Linked DNA regions of Elephas maximus indicus. The main gene of each other region encodes a partner of the protein of the gene in region 2 in a complex. Links are inferred from orthologs where the notes say so. Each region holds a gene or a part of one and is shown on either strand. Other genes may lie near its edges.

Region 1 (3,743 bases), about 44 Mb from region 2:
CAGCCCTTTAAAAGTGTTGGGCTTTCATATAGGGGTGTCTGCTCCTGTACTTGGAATATTCATCCCACCCTCTCCTCCCCAACTCGTTCACTCTTCCATTTCTATTTGTTCTTCAAAACTTAGCTCAACCACCATTTCCCACAAGCCTTTTACAACCCCAGCTTGACTTCTACTAGCCTTTTCTCTGGGCTGTCTTGGCATCCTCCACATGACACATACCCTTAACCACACCTCACTGAAATCAGTGCCTCTCTTCCTCAATAGACTGGGTACCTTTATGAAGGCAGCTCCCAGTCTACCTGGTTTCTATCAACAATGTCTAGCTCATAAACAGCACTGGATATTTCTAAATTAATAAAAGTTATCAACCATGACAGTTTTAAAGTTTAAGCAGTAAACCTAGAAACCACTTTAAAATTTAAACAGCAGGCCATTTAACTGTGACATACCACATGCTAACAGTGCATTGCGTTCCTAATGGCAAGTGCAATGTTGCTGGCCCATTTTCCAGTGGGAAAAGCTGGACATTTAGGAAAACATCTCTGTGAGATTCACCAGCCCACATATGGATCTCAAGCAGCCTGTCTGTCGTCTGCAGAACCCACCAGATTAGAGGGCATCTCCTGGCCTTGACCTACACTGTACCTATAACTTCTAAAAGAGGTGGGCAGGTAGAGATTTATCGTAACCGTGGTTGTCTTTAGGTTAAGGAGTGCAGGAGTATGTTTGTCCGTGTGGGTATATTTTTGTGCGTGTGCACGGGTGGGGGAGGAAGGAGGCGATGTGTGCATCACTTCAGAGTCGCCTTTCCTGACCTTCACTCGCTGACGTTCGTCTCTCCCATCCTCTTCGCACTTTATTCTCCTCCTTTGCTCTGATCATTCAGCTTTACTTGCATTTTAGTAACAGATTAATGTCTGTCTTCCCCGATAGACTGTAAACTGCACTAAGTAAGGAGCCTAGTATGTTCCTGGTTCGTTCCAGTAATCCCCTGCCCAGTAGGACGCCTGAGGCATAACAGGTATTCAACAGCTATTTCTCCGACAAGCGTTCAAAGGACCTTCCGGGCAGACTGACCGCTCCCGTGTCCCCACCCCAGCGGACAACAACGCTTTGCCTACCAACGGCCGGGTGGAGGCGGGGCGGACGGGGCGCGGCACGCAGCGCGCGGCGGGTGCGCTCTCGCGGGGACCGTTCTCTGGATCGCGTGGGCGCGGCCCGGCGGGGGAAGGGGAAACGGGGAGGAGGCGGGCGACACGCGAAGGAGGGACCTGGCCAATGAGGGCCGGCCGGGCGGGGCTCGCTGCCGTCCGGTTGCTCGGGCGCGCGCCGGGCTGGGCGTGCCCACGGGTGACGCGCGGGGCTGGACGGGCCAATTGGTGCGGGGCGGCGGGCGGGCGGGACTCGAGCCCCTGGGCTTTAGGACGTGAACCGGCGGCCGGACGGACAGACTGACGATCGGCCCCATCGCGGGAGTTGCATGGCAGGCATGGCGCTGGCACGGGCCTGGGAGCAGATGTCCTGGTTGTACTACCAGTATCTGCTCGTCACAGCGCTGTACATGCTGGAGCCCTGGGAGCGGACTGTGTTCAGTATCCTGCCCGGGCCGCGCGCGTGGGGGGGTGGTTGGGGCAGGCCACGGGGCTCCCTCCTTCCGGGCCCAGGGGCTGGGGGGGGCGCGGGTGGGCACCGGAGAGAAGTCTTCCCGGCCCGGGTAAGCGGACGGGCCTTTTCGCAGCTGGTGGCATGGGGGCCTGTCGCGCGGTCAAGGGGGGGCGAGAACTTGAGCTCCGGAGCCTGCCTGTGAGTCAGTTGACCTGGGGTAGAGCAGTATTTTTTTCTGGAGGAAATCCCCAAGGGTGGTGTCCTACCCGGTACATCCTCGTTTGCTCTTTGGCCGCGGCTGCTTTTGGTTCAGCCCCTATGTGTTCTTGTGGGAGGCAGAGACCGTGTAGTGGAGCAAATCGCTCCCAGTTTGGATGCCTTTGACCTTTAACTGTCCCCCGATTTAGCTGGCTTTGGTCCTGATGAGAATTCTAACCAGTTTGCCAGCTTTTAAAACCGGATTGTGAATTTGTGGTCATGACACCCCAGTGCAGTTTTTGAAAGCAGTTTAAGTTATTGTGCCTTTTTGGTCTTCAATGATGGGTAATTTAAAATGTTTTATTAAATGAATTCTTTCTCCTTTTTGGTCTTCAATGATGGGTAATTTTAAATGTTTTGTTAAATGAATTCTTTCTCTGTTTGCATCCTCCGTAGAAGTCCTGCCCGAAAAAGGAATTTGTGGTTAGTTGTAGTTAGGGTTTGACACTGTTTGGACGAATAAGAGTTAATAAATACTTGCTAAAGACTACAGATTACTGTGAGCCAAACTACTGTGCTAGGTACTTTTGCATATATTTTAACTTATCTAACCTTCCCAACAACTCCAGCGAATAACTCGAGGTTGTAAAGAGAGGCTTCCTGAAGTCTGATTTTTCGTGCCTCCAGTTGCCTATGTTTTGACACCGCTTGATAATGACATTCTCGAAGAATAAATACTAATTATGAGATGTAACTTTTTTTTTTTAAACTTTGAGGCCAATATGAAACTGATATTCCACATACGTGTTTACTTCAGACAGGGTCTCTTCCTTTTCAGTGTGGTTTGGTTGGGAGTTGCCTGCTTCAGGACAGTTTTGCAAATGCGTTGTTGCATTCCGGTAGAGTGACTGAGGTAATTTCATTCCAAGCCTTATGGAGTGTGTTTGTGCTGAAGTAGCGTAAGGTTATACTCAGAGTCTTTTGTTTCAACATTTTTGAGGAAACTTAGCTGTAAGGCAGTTTATTTATTATCATTGACATTTCTTTGCAATATGGAATAATTTAAGAACAAGAATACATGTTTCAGATTTAGATTCTGAAGGTAAAGTCGAGTCTGGCCCCGCCCCCCCATCCTGCCCCCGCCATTTGCTTGTAGTTCCCGTTCAGTCTCACTGTTAAGTTCTGTAGGTTAGAGTTCATGAGGTCATGCCTTGTATGATGTTGTACAATATTGTATGGATATTTAATTGAAATTTCTCAATGGAAGCACACATTTCTTGTCTCACTTAAAATCGTCTTAAAAATGGATTTAAACGCTGTTGGAGTAAATTGACACGCTTTAAATCAGAGGAAACCCTGGTGGTGTAGTGGTTAAGTGCTACAGCTGCTAACCAAGAGGTCGGCAGTTCAAATCTGTCAGGCGCTCCTTGGAAACTCTATGGGGCAGTTCTGTTCTGTCCTACAGGGTCGCTATGAGTCAGAATCGACTCGATGGCAGTGGGTTTAAATCAGAAATTGAGTGTAGAGCCCACTATCAGAGTCTAGTATAGATCTTACATTTAAAGCTATTGTTGGCATAGGGATAAATGTTGCAGTTGTCAATGGTGTTATGGTTTTTCTGTTTTCTGTTGCATGATACCCACCCATGCATACCCACTGTTAGTAGCCTTAGCTCTTAACCACTGTGCTGCCAGGGTTGCAATGATATAACATATAAATTCCTAGGTGGTAATTTTTTGGGGGGAGGATGGAGAAATAAATTATGAACTCAAATGCAGTGCTTCTATAGATTTTTTTGCCCTTAGCTTTTGACTTCTCTTTGGTTTTTACGACCAAGTGGTATCTGTTAGTGTAGAATCTTAAGATTTTAAACCTAAAACTTAAAAACAGTCTTACTGGAAAGTTCACATTATTGAATTAACCCAGGGTAGTAATGCATT
Region 2 (3,743 bases):
AAGAGCTACGGTGTTAACCAAAAGTCGGCAGTTCGAACCCAGGAGGAAGTGTGGAAACCCTGGTGGTGTACTGGTTGTTTGGCTGCTAACCAAAAGGTTGCCAGTTTGAATCTACCAGGCGCTCCTTGGAAACCCTGTGGGGCAGTTCTACTCTGTCCTATAGGGTCACTATGAGTCGGAATCAACTCCCCGGCAATGGGTTTTGTTTTTTGTTTTAATAGTGCATGGAGTCCTGGTTGCCCAGTGGTTAAGAGCTATGGCAGCTAACCAAAAGATCTGCGGTTTGAATCCACCAGCTGCTACCTGGAGACCCCATAGGACAGCTCTGCTCTGTCCTATGAGGGTTGCTATGAGTCGGAATCAACTCAACAGCAATGGGTTAATGTGCACAACACGTTATTAATAAAAATCCTGCAGTGACTCTATGAAGCGGGAAGCAGTAATTCCACTTTACAGGTGAAGAAACTGGCTCCCAAAGTGCTTAAGTACCCAAAGTTTAGCTTCCAGTAATTGGCAGAGCTGGAAATAGACCAGCTTTCCTGGCTTTAAAGAAGATGGTACAGAAAACCCTGAGAGAAACTATGTAAAGGGCAAAGGGACATCTGTATTAAAAAATGTGTTAACATATCTAAAGAATGTGTGGTATATATTGAAGAATAATGAGAAGAGAATGAATGTCAAAAAGGCTATTCTATAAACACCCACAGAGGAATTAGTTAATTAAATAAAGGAGCTTGCCAGTCTTGGGCTGAGGTTCAAACCATCTTCCCTGGAGGCAAGGGCAGAGAGGGCACCGCCAATCCAAGACAACTAGGAAACCCGCTCGAGACTTACGCTCAGCCCCCTTTCTCTCCTCACACTCTAATTGGCTACTTCTTCTTGGACCCCGCCTCCTCCTCGTCCAGACCATTAAGCAGCCAAGCCCTATCCACAACCCGCTTTGGGCCTCCAATCAGCTGGCAGGCTCACAGTCCCTCGGGAGAATCCCCATCTACCCCGGCGAGGCGCCTTATTCTGGCCGGTGATTGGCCAAGAGGCCGCATAAGGTACGCCTCCTACTCCTACAGATTGGTCGACGGTCCTCAGACACACGCTCCTCCTTGGTCCGATCCCGCCCCGCCTCTCCCTTTTTGGCCGGGCCTGCGGAGAGCCGCGGCCTTCTGGCGGGATAGGCCCCGCCCCCTGTGACGGCTAGGCCAGGAATTGGCCGCTGCTCTGCAGCCATTTCCGGTTTCGAGGAGGTGGGTGGGGTGCGGAGCAGGGTGGGACCCCTGGCTGCCGCCACTGCTGCCATCGCCTACAGAGCCTGCCTTGTGCCTGTCGCTGCTGGGACGATGCGGCCGGGGTCTGAAGGCTGCTGCTGCCGTCGCCCGATGCGGGCGAACGGCTGCGTTGCGAACGGGGAGGTGCTGAACGGATATGTGCGGAGCAGCGCAGCTGCCGCCGCCGCCGCTGGCCAGGTACCGTGGGGCTGGGCGGCGGGCGCAGCGGGCGGCGCGGCTGGGGGAGGCGGGCTGGGACCCAGCGAGCGGGCGCCGGAGCGGAGCCGGCCGAGGGGCAGCCGGGCGGCGTAGGGTTGCGGTGGCTCTCTGCGGGGCCGGGCGCCGGGGGCGGCTCGGGCGTGCTGGCCGCGGGGTCCTGGCGCTGACCGGGCCTGGCCCGAGCCGGAGGGCTCAAGGGCGGCGCAGAGGCTCCTCTCTCTCCGTGCCTGACGGTCTTGTTTTCCTCTCCGCCGAAGGCTTGGGCTCTGCTCAGAGCCACGGGTACCTTCCCTTACCTGATCCGGGTAAAGGTGCGAGCCTCTCCCAGGGAAGGCAGCGAGTGACTCCCTCGGACCCATTAGGATCCCTTCAAGGGCTCTGGGTTCTTTCTCCTGAGGCTCCCTCCTCAAACTCGAGGTAGTTGCTTCCTCTCGGTCCTGAAGGCATCCACGGAAAACCACCCTTGGAGTCTTTAAGGGGCAAAAAAAAGTTAGGAGGTGCTATGAGGAGGGATAGGAGCCCTGGTGGCGCAGTGGTTACAGCGCTCGGCTGCCAACCAAAAGGTCGGCGATTGGAACCCTCCGGCCGCTCTGAGGGAGAAAGATGTGGCAGTCCGCTTCCGTAAGGATTTACAGCTTTGGGAACCCTATGGGACAGCTCTGCTCTGTCCTGTAGGGTCACTATGAGTCAGAATGGACTTGATGGCAATGGGTTTTAGTTAGGAGGAAGGAAGCCCGGGTGGTGTAATGGGTAAAAGCCTAGCTGCTAACCAAAGGTTGGCGGTTCAAACTCACCCAGTGACTCCGCGGGAGAAAGACGTGGCTATCTGTTCCCATAAAGATTACACCCAAGAAAAGCCTATGGACGCAGTTCTACTCTGTAACATGGGGTCACTATGAGTCAAAATGACTGGAAGACACCTAACAATAGCAACGCGAGGAGGAAATACATTATTTTCTTCCTCCCAGGTTCGGGGTCCGCTGCACATGCAGGACTTTGGACCATAGATCTGGCAGTGTAACACTGCCCCGTGCCTCAAAAGCATTGTCTTCATACTCTGCCTGGGGGGGCACCCCATCCCGGGTGCAGGAGAGGTCCCTGTTGAGTTGTGGTCCCTTTGACCCTTTGAGTGAGACTGTTATCACGCAAGGGGATTGTTTAGTGGTGACTTGTGATGAGTCTGTACTAATTAACCAAGGCTGAATCACCAACCAAGTTCAGGCAGTTCTAAAATATTTTGAAAAGTTCCAAGATCAAGACAATATATCAACCTTCCAATTCTCTGGGCTGACAGATACTCTACAGATAGATGTTTTTGAAGATGAGCTAGTTATAAAGATGCAAAAACTGAGTGTTGTGATAATTTGCAACTGACTCATAGGTCTCATTCAGATATTAAGGAAAATATAAAAAAGTAGTCCGTTCCCCTTAGCAGGAGCTGTGACAGTTGCAGTTTTTGACAGGATAGTGATCTTACTTTGGCTTTAATGTAAATATCTCGCAGCTTCCCCCGATCAGTATGTATGATGGCTAGACCTGCTATTGTTTGGTGTAAATCAGTAAATAAAGCATTTCTCCAGGTCAAATTGAGATATTGAGACTATGAGAGTTGGGGGAAAAAATACATAAAAGAACCTTTTTGTTCCCTGAGGTTGTAAGGTGTAAGGCAAAATAATACAGTCAAAAGGTTTGTTTTAGTTAAAAAAAAAAAAAGGGGGCGAGGAAATGATAAGAATCAACTAATTGTAAAGTGTGGAATAATTTTTTTGTTTTCCTAGCAATGTAAGTGACTAATTAGATGAAATCGTTGTGGGATAAAATATGAACTTAATGGCTATGAGTTAGTAGATTGCAGGTGAATGAGAGGTGTACGTGTGTGTGTTAGGTGCTGTCAGGTCGCTTCCAACTAATAGCGACCCTATGTACAACAGAACGAAACTCTGCCTGGTCCTGTGCCATCCTCATCTTAGTTGCTGTGTTTGACCCCATTGTTGCAGCCGCTGTGTCATTCCATCTTGTTGAGGGCCTTCCTCTTTTTTGCTGACCCTCTGCTTTACCAAGCATGATGTCCTTCTCCAGGGACTGGTCCCGCCTGATAACATGTCCAAGTATGTGAGACAAAGTCTTGCCATCCTGGCTTCTAAGGAGCACCCTGGCTGTACGTCTTCCAAGACAGATTTATTTGTCCTTCTGGCAGTCTATGGTGTATGAGGTAAAAGGAAATCAAGAGAAAAGTGTTTACATTTTAGGGATGCTTTGTGT
Region 3 (3,743 bases), on a different chromosome or scaffold from region 2:
CTGCCCCTCCCACCGTCACCTCAGTCTCCTTTTCCCAGCACCTGTTTCCAGGTGTAAATTAACACCATGCCTTCCCCTGCACAGTTCCAATGGTAGAAGCCCTGGAGCTGGAGGAACCAAGAGGGCTGCCATTGATGCCTAGGAAACAATGGTGGCAGCAACCCAGCGTGGGTAGAGGGAAGTGGTAGAGGTAAGGAGGGGAATGAGCAGTCCCTTCTCCAGAGCGTTGCTATCCCCAGATCCCCAAGGGCATTGTGGCCAGCTGGAAGTGGGAACAGATGGCGCCTTTGCTTAGCCTCATCCCCTCCTAGATGAGGGAGGGCCCTGTCTGATGAAGACCCTAAGGTCATCACCATGGTAACAGCCCCATCTTTCCTGGGGCTTCAGAAAGAGGTTCCAAATGAGGGAATCCTGGGAGTGCCCAGAGGCCACCTCCCTCACCCCACTGCAGCCAGCCCCTCAGATTCAGTTGCTATTTATCTCTGGCCAGGATCCCAGTTGGGCCTACACAGGAACTAGAATTCCCAAGGGTCAGTTCCCTACTTTCAGAATAATGGGAGCAAGTTTCCTTTTCTCAGACAGTTCCAAGCTTAAAGACCCCAAGGGAAATGTGGCCCACAACACACCTTCTCAACATACAAACATAGTGGGTTAGCCTGGGGTGCATCCTGGAAGATGTGATGCTTCTGGGCCCATCGGCTCAGCCCATTAGGCTGGATAATTGGGCCTAACAGAAACCCAAGGAACTAGAAAATCAGAGCTGTTTACCTTCCCAAGGCCTTGGGATTTCAGTTACCCTAACACAGCCCCTGGGATACCTACTACGCAAAAGCTTCCACCGGGGGAGGGGGGTTGGTGGTGAGAGGCTGTCTGCCTGGGAAGTGAGGGTTCAGCAGAAGTTATTAATAAAGGGAGGGGATGAGTTTCCCAAGTCTGATCGGAAACTGCTGCCCTCCTTTCCCTAACCCAGACCTACAGGGGTGTGAGTATAGAAAAAATTTCTAACCCTCCCTAGTGTCTTCTCCAGGAGTGCCGAGAGCCTTGCTTAATCCCAGACCACAAGACCCTATGCCCGTTTCTGGCTGTCACAGAACATCCTGCCCAGCCTGATGGGTCTAGGAAGGAGCTAGGCCCCAGGTCCTAGCTGCCGCCCCGAGAAGCTTCTTCCTGAAGCCTGAACACCAAGTGCCCTGAGAGCTGAAAATCCCAAGAGACCCCCAAAAAGAGGCAGAAGAGATTGAAAAACTAAGAAAAAGACTGGCAGCCAGGAAGCACTACTGAGACTTTTGTGTGAGACCTATTGTTTCCATGAGTAATATAACCAATTGACCTCTCCCCCAGAAGGGGACAGGGAGAAGAGGCTGGCAGAGGTAAAACAAGTCTACAACAGCTGAGGCTGAAAAGTCCTGCCACTGTAGCTGGCAGGTGGCTGCTTGCACCAGCTCCTAATGTGGTTTCATAACCTGCTTCAAACAAGAGCCTGCAGCAACTCCGTTCTGTTAACCACTTTCTTGCTGGTAGCTCTTTCCCACTCTTCCCCTCCCGCCCCGCCCCGCCCCCCCCCCAACTCCACACAAGAATATCCCGGCTCTGCCAGTCTGTCAAGACACCCAAGCCAAGGCTAGAGTGTGCCTCAGGGCAGCCACCAGGTGAGACCTTCCCATTCCCTCCCCCAGGTGAGGGTAGACCTTTAAATGGCAAATCTTTTGCCTTCTGGGTAAGCGGCACAAAACATCCAGGCCTGCACCCTGGACCCCAACTGGGGAGTCCCTGGAAGCACCCCACAATGCCATTTACGTTCTGCACACCCCCTAACCCGCAGGGTCACAGCTTCTCACCTCTCAGCCCCGGCCAGCCTTGGGATACAGAAGGGCGATGGGAATGAAAAGACTGACAGCACCAAGGCAATCCCCCACTAGACGGGAGAGAGGGAGGAGCGAGGAGGCGGAGTCCTCACTATTGTTGGGGCTTTCAGAGTGGGATCTCCGGTCCGCAGGGGAGCCTCCCGCTCCGCTTCCCAGCCTGGGACCTCGCACTCGGAAGAGGACGCGTTCGGGGCCCCACCCCCATCTCCACGCGTTCACCTAGCCCTGGAGGCAGCCAAACCTTTACCCCCGAAGCCGAGCCTCTCCCCGCCCCCTACCCTCAGCTGGGGCGCCCCTCTTCGGCGCCCCAACCCTGTCCTCCCGCCCCCACTTCCCTCTTTGGGCACCCCCCCTCGGCTGATGCACCCCCTCCACACCCGCTCACTTTGTCCGGGTCCCCTCCAGCCGGGGTCCCTTCCCCAGCGGCCCCCTCTCTCCCGCCCCGCTTCTAGTCCTGAGGGCCTCCCGGCTTCCCCACCAGAAGGCCTCTGTTCGTACTTACCCTGCGGGGCCGGAGGTCGGGGGCCCGGGAGTAGTGCCCCGGGACAGGAGCGGGGGCGGGGGCCGCTGCTGCTCTAGCAGCTGTAACAACCCGCAGCAGCAGCCACCCCGCTGGCAGCTCCAGCCGAATCAGCGCCCCGCGCCCGCCCCTGTGACGTCACCGCTTCGCGCCGAGCCTCCTGGCGCCTCCTGGGAGTTGTAGTTTCTTGCCATGCTCTCTCCCAGCCTGTTTACTGCCTCTCTGCAGGAAGTCTCAGCGGGACGCAATACTAAGATCTGGTGGTATTACTTTGGCTCGTAACAATTCCTGTTTCTGTATCCACTCCCTTCAAGTGCTGCTTACAATCGCCCCTGTTTTGCAGATGAGGAAACTCGGAGTTTTAAGTAACTTACCCTAGGTCCCTATGGGGTCCCAGCCTGGACCAGAACCCAGGGATCTGGCCCCAAATGCAGGGTTTTTCCACTACACGTCGCCGCCTCCGCCTTGGTCCCAGATTGGCTCCTCCAGAAAGCGGACTAACCCGACATTTTGCCCAGCGGGACCCTCCTGGGAGCAGGTCTTTTGCAACTTTGGCTGGTTTAAGGGTCTGGAAGGGCGAGAACGCAGCCTGTGGGCAGCGTTTGCGTTTGTCCAGAGCCTTTTGGCTAGCTCCTTCTCAGTTACGCTTGGCCTAGGCCAAATCCTCGGCCTCCTCCCATCAGACCTCAGAAGAGGCCACGTGTCATGGAAGGATTCCTTGATGAAGAGTTAGGAGTCTGAGTACCAGTCCCAAATCAGCGTGCGTGGTTTTGGGTGGGAGATTCCACCTCTCTGGCCGGCAGTTTTCGCAGTCTCCATCCTCTAAAGGTGAGGGCAGATCTAAAGGTAGTCATAGTGTAGGAACTCTTAGCAGCAGTGTAACCCTGTGCAAATTCCTTAATTTGTCTTAATCTCCAGTTGCACACCTGTGAAATCCTACCTCAGAGTTGTTGTGAAAATTCAAAAGAATATAGGTAAAGCACCTGTTGCATTATAGTAAACTATTTCTGTAGGAAACTAAACTAAATGGCTTTTGAAGTCTCCTGGCTAACTTCCACTCTGCATATCACCAAAGGGTCTTGTTTGGGTAGTTTCCACTCGTCCACCCAGGTTCTCTATGTTTGGGCTGGAATTGTGGAATTAATGACATCATGGCATGATAAACCTGACTGGCTGCAAAACAAAATTTTTTTATTGAGTGTATTCTGACTCACGGTGACCCTATGTGTTACAGGGTAGAACTGCTAAGCAGTTCTTGGCTGTATCTCTACAGAAGCAGATCTCCAGGCCTTTCTTGGTCAGTAATGCTGGATGGGTTCAAACCACCAACCTCTAAACTTTAGGTTAGTACAGACTGC

Evidence for each region.
Region 1: the proteins of SPTLC2 (region 2) and SPTSSA are in contact, whole or in part, in a cryo-EM structure (PDB 7K0K), measured with the Homo sapiens proteins. The link is inferred for Elephas maximus indicus from reciprocal best matches to the Homo sapiens genes SPTLC2 and SPTSSA. Residues at the interface, in NP_004854.1 of Homo sapiens: Leu73, Gly77, Val80, Leu81, Phe84, Leu87, Arg88, Leu91, Leu126, Arg129, Ile130, Tyr156, Met475, Pro476, Ala477, Lys478, Gly480, Ala481, Arg484, Glu485, Asp533, Leu534, Leu535, Gln536; in NP_612145.2 of Homo sapiens: Trp15, Tyr18, Gln19, Leu21, Leu22, Val23, Thr24, Ala25, Tyr27, Met28, Leu29, Glu30, Pro31, Trp32, Glu33, Val36, Phe37.
Region 3: the proteins of SPTLC2 (region 2) and ORMDL3 are in contact, whole or in part, in a cryo-EM structure (PDB 7K0O), measured with the Homo sapiens proteins. The link is inferred for Elephas maximus indicus from reciprocal best matches to the Homo sapiens genes SPTLC2 and ORMDL3. Residues at the interface, in NP_004854.1 of Homo sapiens: Glu65, Thr66, Pro67, Met68, Ala71, Val72, Tyr75, Tyr86, Gln116, Phe118, Glu119, Asn120, Phe121, Tyr122, Tyr127, Trp134, Asp259, Glu260, Leu261, Asn262, Val267, Arg271, Ile279, Met320, Val495, Val496, Gly497, Phe498, Pro499, Ala500; in NP_001307730.1 of Homo sapiens: Met1, Asn2, Val3, Gly4, Thr5, Ala6, His7, Ser8, Pro12, Val16, Ser19, Arg20, Gly21, Ile22, Leu24, Ser25, Leu28, Phe63, Val67, Lys68, Gly69, Thr70, Pro71, Phe72, Glu73, Pro75, Gln77, Arg81.

The regions. Positions count from the first base shown.
Region 1 is NC_064828.1:46,869,276-46,873,018, reverse strand, and holds the start of SPTSSA (serine palmitoyltransferase small subunit A), read left to right. Parts: upstream 1-1,391; 5' UTR 1,392-1,480; coding exon 1,481-1,592; intron 1,593-3,743. UniProt on the Homo sapiens protein: Component of the serine palmitoyltransferase multisubunit enzyme (SPT) that catalyzes the initial and rate-limiting step in sphingolipid biosynthesis by condensing L-serine and activated acyl-CoA (most commonly palmitoyl-CoA) to form long-chain bases.
Region 2 is NC_064828.1:90,419,331-90,423,073, reverse strand, and holds the start of SPTLC2 (serine palmitoyltransferase 2), read left to right. Parts: upstream 1-1,235; 5' UTR 1,236-1,334; coding exon 1,335-1,460; intron 1,461-3,743. UniProt on the Homo sapiens protein: Component of the serine palmitoyltransferase multisubunit enzyme (SPT) that catalyzes the initial and rate-limiting step in sphingolipid biosynthesis by condensing L-serine and activated acyl-CoA (most commonly palmitoyl-CoA) to form long-chain bases.
Region 3 is NC_064837.1:47,192,774-47,196,516, forward strand, and holds the start of ORMDL3 (ORM1-like protein 3), read right to left. Parts: upstream 2,453-3,743; 5' UTR 2,368-2,452; intron 1-2,367. UniProt on the Homo sapiens protein: Plays an essential role in the homeostatic regulation of sphingolipid de novo biosynthesis by modulating the activity of the serine palmitoyltransferase (SPT) in response to ceramide levels.